Saccharomyces cerevisiae S288C: one gene and its partner. The gene in region 2 interacts genetically with the main gene of each other region. Each region holds a gene or a part of one and is shown on either strand. Other genes may lie near its edges.

Evidence for each region.
Region 1: of CBP6 (region 2) and QCR7, changing one suppresses a phenotype caused by changing the other (phenotypic suppression), as found in Saccharomyces cerevisiae (one study listed by BioGRID).

The regions. Positions count from the first base shown.
Region 1 is NC_001136.10:1,495,534-1,498,617, forward strand, and holds QCR7 (ubiquinol--cytochrome-c reductase subunit 7), read right to left. Parts: upstream 1,016-3,084; coding exon 632-1,015; downstream 1-631. Other genes in the region: HLR1 (Hlr1p), read left to right, coding at 1-324; APA2 (bifunctional AP-4-A phosphorylase/ADP sulfurylase), read right to left, coding at 1,258-2,235; CAB1 (pantothenate kinase), read left to right, coding at 2,699-3,084. UniProt on the Saccharomyces cerevisiae protein: Component of the ubiquinol-cytochrome c oxidoreductase, a multisubunit transmembrane complex that is part of the mitochondrial electron transport chain which drives oxidative phosphorylation.
Region 2 is NC_001134.8:479,814-482,779, forward strand, and holds CBP6 (Cbp6p), read right to left. Parts: upstream 1,111-2,966; coding exon 622-1,110; downstream 1-621. Other genes in the region: MUD1 (Mud1p), read left to right, coding at 1-510; GRS1 (glycine--tRNA ligase), read right to left, coding at 1,551-2,966. UniProt on the Saccharomyces cerevisiae protein: This protein is involved in processing of the 5' terminus and the intervening sequences of cytochrome b pre-mRNA.

The DNA of each region.
Region 1 (3,084 bases), on a different chromosome or scaffold from region 2:
TTCCAGTCTCAGGAGTGCGATATGGTATCTTTTACTGAGGATTTTGCCCATGTAACATCATTGTCTTCTTCTATTCTTGACTCTGAGAAACAAACAGACGACGAAGAAGAAGAGAGTATTCCGGAAGAAATACTACGAGGAGAACCCCTCCACGTATACAACGAAACTAGTGGATCTGATAAAAGTGTCATTTTGCCGACGAAACAAAAATCTGCTCCCATTAACAAGGATAGTAAGCACAGTTCAACTCAGTATGAAGAAAAATCTTTTAAGAAGAATAGAAAGTTCAAAATTTTCGCCAAGTTATTCTGCACTAGGAAATAGTAGAATAAATTTAAGATATATAGACCACTCGATACCCCATCACCTGCATAATTATAGAAAAAATAAATACTAATAGATACCCGATTTATAACACTAGACATTACAATATACGAATTTCATAATAAAATTTTAAGTTCAGACTATAGATAAATAAATAATATGAAGTAAACGTTTCAAGCAAACGCTTATATATATATAGAGAGATAATAAAGGATATGATTTAGTCTCTGTCCCTTCTTTCAAATGAATATTTAATGCCTTTTTTTTTTCGGGTTGTGTGTTCGTGGTGATTTTTTTATTCTTCTTTTCATTTGGAGACCTCTATGTTGTCTAACTCGTCCTTCTCCTTAGCTGCAGCTTCAGCTTCTAATATGTATGGCAACAGGTAAGGAACATCCTCTTGGGCTTTGATCCATTCGTTTCTTGGCAGTAAATGATGAGTCAACTCGGTTTGATGAGCCCTGATTATTCTATATGCTCTGGCATAAGATTCATCTTCAGGGAGTCTTCTTAAAGCGGTCTGCATGATGGGATTTTCCTCTGCAATTAAGTCGTCAAATTTGAGCCCTAACTTCTTGTAACCTGCGAGGTTAATGAACTGATTGGCAACTGGAACACATAACTTGGAGAGGACGGGTGACTTCAAAATATAGTCACCAATTCTCGCAATAGACGTAAAAGACTGTGGCATTTTGTTCTTTCTGGAACGTTTAATTACAGTTACTAATATTCTGATAAATTGTCCAACAACAACCTTTACTGCTATTTTTCCAAGCTTTTACATCTCTTCCCTTTTATTACTGCTCTATGAAAGTAAATTGTCAGGCCCCCCGCCGGGGTGACCCGATAAAAAGCGCGTCGCTCCTGATTGGTCAAAACAAGATCACAGCGCAGTTACACATCTATAGACAATGTACATATGGCTAATAGACCTTAATAGTGATACTCTGTTGGTTTTTGGCCTGCTGTGTTGGGGAAACCGCATTGCAGTAACGACTTGTCCACAAGATGAGGATCTTCAGTGAGGTTCTCTAGTTTTTCTCTGTCTTTAACGAGGATCATACCACAGTACCCCGTGGAGTTAATGTTTAACATCAATGGCGGTCCACTCTTGGCATGCGATCTTGGAACTACACAGATCCATTTCTTGGTCAGTAGCACATTGTATGACTTGGTCAACTCCGGAGACTCATTGGTCCAATCTTGGAAAAATGTAAGTGCTCTCTGCATCAAAGATACGTAACACATAGCAAGAAGATCTTCGTCCACTTGATCAGACGATTCCGGCAGCGGCAAGACGAAATGAGCAAAGGAAACCTTATCATCTTGTAATGGCTCTGCGTTGAAGGTGGGCAAGAAATGATCCTTTCCGTTGCACAATACGTCCTGAAAAGGTATAAATTTTTCAGGCATTTGCATGATCTGCAAGTGTTTGTGATCTTGTGAGGAACCGCTATGAGGTCCACAATTATAAAAGACCAGATACCTTTCACAAGTGACATCATCGTCCTTGTCTCCTTGGAGAGAACAGAGCACATTATAAGCAGTCATCAAGTCACTTGGCGTCAAAGCAGATCTCTGGTCTTTAAACTCGCTTGTCACTAGGAGACTATGTTCAGGGACCACAGGAAATTTGTTGAGTAGCAGCTTATATTCTCCGTCACCATTTAGATCTTCAGTCACCACTAGTTCTTCGTCGGGATTGGCGAACGGGTCCTCCGCCTTTGAATCGCTATTCTTGTTAGCGTCTGGCTTAAGTGCCAAAGATGGAGCAAATGTCACCCAATATTGTGTCGTCGTTTGAGGATCTTTCAACTTCTTGGATTCTGCATGCGTTACTTTCAGATGCCCATTCTTTTTGGCTGCAACGAACTTATCGTGGATTTTCTGTTTCAAATTCTCTTCAATCATCTTTGTCTTCCTATTTTCTCTGACCCAGGGGCTCGGTTGCCTTTTAATTTTATTATATTTCAATAGTTCAACACATTTTCGAAACAGGCAAAAGCTTTACACGTGACGTTGGTATGATCGAGTATTATTCATATGGTCGTTCATGATTGCGTATTTACGACAGTATCTCAAAAAGTTTCACTCAAATGCGGAGAACTATCCGCGATCTACGCATTGAGCTCCTTTAGTTTGTAATTGCCGGGACCGATTTTTTTTTTTTTACTTCTGACTGTTCCACTTAGGAATCTTACATGACGTTAAACGACTAGCGCAGTTCCCCCAATATCGGCCGAAATTTTATTTCACCAACATAACGATGAGTAAAAAGAACTTATGTTTCTGAACAGATTGATCATTAAAACTAAAAAACTACCAGAATAAAGAAATTTATAGTTCCAATTGAGTGCATGCGAAAAGAATCGCAATGCCGCGAATTACTCAAGAGATATCTTACAATTGCGATTATGGCGACAATACTTTCAACCTTGCTATTGATATAGGAGGCACTCTGGCTAAAGTAGTCTTCTCGCCTATACACAGTAACAGGCTGATGTTCTACACCATTGAAACAGAGAAAATTGACAAGTTCATGGAACTTCTGCATTCTATTATCAAAGAACATAACAATGGATGCTATAGAATGACTCATATAATTGCCACTGGTGGTGGCGCCTTCAAGTTTTATGATTTGTTGTATGAAAATTTTCCTCAAATAAAAGGTATATCGAGGTTCGAAGAAATGGAAGGCTTAATTCACGGTTTAGACTTTTTCATTCATGAGATTCCCGATGAAGTTTTCACTTACAACGA
Region 2 (2,966 bases):
GACGAAACGTACAACCTTGATATAAAGAAGGTGCTTAAAGCAAGGAAACTTAAACGCAAGTTACGTAGTGATGATATATGCGCCAAAAAGTTCAGGCTTAAAAGGCAAATAAGACGCCTGAAGCATAAGCTGAGATCAAGAAAGGTAGAGGAGGCTGAGATTGATAGGATTGTAAAAGAATTTGAAACCCGTAGATTGGAAAACATGAAGTCTCAGCAAGAAAATCTAAAACAATCGCAGAAACCTCTTAAGCGGGCTAAAGTGTCCAATACAATGGAAAATCCACCGAACAAAGTCCTTCTTATACAAAATTTGCCAAGCGGCACTACCGAGCAATTATTGTCGCAAATACTTGGCAATGAGGCTTTAGTTGAAATCAGATTAGTTAGCGTTCGTAACCTAGCTTTCGTGGAATACGAGACCGTTGCTGATGCTACGAAAATCAAGAATCAGTTAGGCTCCACTTACAAGCTACAAAACAATGACGTTACCATAGGATTTGCTAAGTAGAATTTCCTTTGCGGAAGTATACCTCGAGTAAAGAAATTCACAGATAAATTTGAATAACGTTCTCCATTATGAATAAATATGTATTTACAAGCTTAGAAAATAATGTGCTCTTTATTTACCAAATAATACAGTTCTCATTGCAGTAAATAAGCTTTCCTTTTTCTTACCGTCAACGGCATTTATTAACCGTTGATAATATTGGGGATTTCCTGCAGGTTTATAGAGCTTATCGCCAATATCGTAATAGTTTCTGAATTTATTATTCATTATAGTGCTCAAGGCACGAATTTGCTCGTTGATGCTTTCTTCCGTGAATTTCTCATCTACCATTTTATTTTGAATTTTGGTTAACATCTCCTTATTCAGTCCTAATGGACCGGAAGTTCTGTTAATTATACTTTTTATTTCATCTAATGAGGGTTTTTTCTCTTTTATAGATTTTCCTTTGTCATCTACATTTGGCAGACCCGCTACACGTCTAAATCTTGCTATTTGTACATCCCTGAATGAGACCAAGTGGTGTATACGATCCTTTGGATATTTTTCCAGTAAATTAACTAATTTTTTGGCAGAATCCCTGACGACCTGGGAAGAAGACATTTTGGCACTTGCTTGTGGAATACGGAGTTTAACTTGGTAAGCTGATAGAGAGAATGTTTCAATGAAGGCTACCTTTTTTTCTTATAATGTTGCTACCACAGGAAATCTTGATATACGTTAATGTTTTGGCCCCTACAAGGCCGGAAATATTTCGCTTTTTCTTGATATCAGAATTTTTCGCATGTCCGACCATGCGCAGAGCTGCTATGAAAGTACTTTAACTATTAGTGTGAGGAATGGCTAAATAAACAGCAGATGTGATTTCCGCACTTCTTTTATAAACTTCCAAAATAATCGTATTAGTGGACAGTACATAATCATATCTTGCAATACGTATCAATAGTAAACGAATTATTTATTCATACACACATGTATATACTTCTCGCTTCTTTTTTTAATTTACATGTTTGGCGATATATAGTTAAAATTAAGTCATTTATTTAGTCAGTTTCAGCTTCAGCTTCAGCTTGGGCAATAAAAGGAGTCAAATCCTTGGTACCTTCTTCCCAAGAAGCACCATTGTAAGTGATATCGCGGATAGCCTTGATGACATTTTCGACGGAACCTCTAACTTGCTTGGTGGAATCTCTTTCTCTCAAAGTGACAGAATGGTCTTTGGCAGATTCAAAGTCAATGGTGACACCGAATGGAGTACCTAATTCGTCATTACGGGCATATCTTTTACCAATGGAAACTCCAGAATCATCAATCTTAAATGGGATTTGAGACTTTCTTAAGATTTTGGCGACTTCAGTAGTAACAGGAACTAAATCTTTGTGGTTAGATAAAGGAACTAAAAGAACCTTTGTTGGAGCAACCAAAGGTGGGAAGGAAAGAACACTTCTGGCATTGTCTTCTGGTCTGTTCCAGAAAGAGTGCTCAAAAACGGAGTAGATGATACGGCCAATACCGAAAGATGGTTCAATGACACTAGGAACATATTCTCTAACGTGTTCAACCTTTGTTCTTTGTTCGATTTTAACCAATTTATCGTCCAACTCGACTTCGCCATCAACACCATCAACCTTTATAGTAAACTTGCCATTTGCCTTCAATAACTCAGCCTTGGAAGCCAAGTCATCTTGAGACATATTCAATAGATGAGATTCAACTTTTGGTGCATCTTTTCTGAATTTTGGACCGAACAATTTTTTCGTCAAATCAATTTCCCACTTGGTGACTTCAATTGGATTATCTAATTTTTGTCTAACAACCAATTTTTCTTTGGTCTTTTTGGAATGAACGGTCAAATCATAGGCAGATCTATCAGCACATCCGACACATTCAATCCACCCGTAAGATGTCTTCAATTCACCATCCCAACAGTCAGCAGCATAATGTGCCATTTCATTAGCCATATGTTGACGGAATCTCAATTTGGACTCATCAACACCAATTTTCATCAAAAATTGGTAAATTCTGGCAATAAAGTAACCCAAAGTTTCATTATCGACCATTCTTGAAGCAACTGCTTCACCAACTGTCTTGACAATTGGTTCAGTAGAACCAGCTTCTTGAACATCACGAGGCAAAAAGGAAAGCTTGATGTCTTTGATTTCATTAAATTTTGGATGAGATTTGTCCAATGGGTCAACGAAATGTTCAATCTCTGCCATCAAAAATTCACGGACTCTTAATAAACCGGCCCTTGGGGAAATCTCATTTCTAAATGATTTACCGATAGAGGCTGAGGCAAAAGGGGTCTTACTGTTGTTAAATTCTAACAACTTGTTAAAATTCAAGAATTGACCTTGGGCAGTTTCTGGCCTCAAGTAACCCTTTAATTGACCAGATGGGCCAATAGCCGTTTCAAACATCAGGTTAAAAGCCCTTGGAGATTCTAAAGTTTCTCCGGT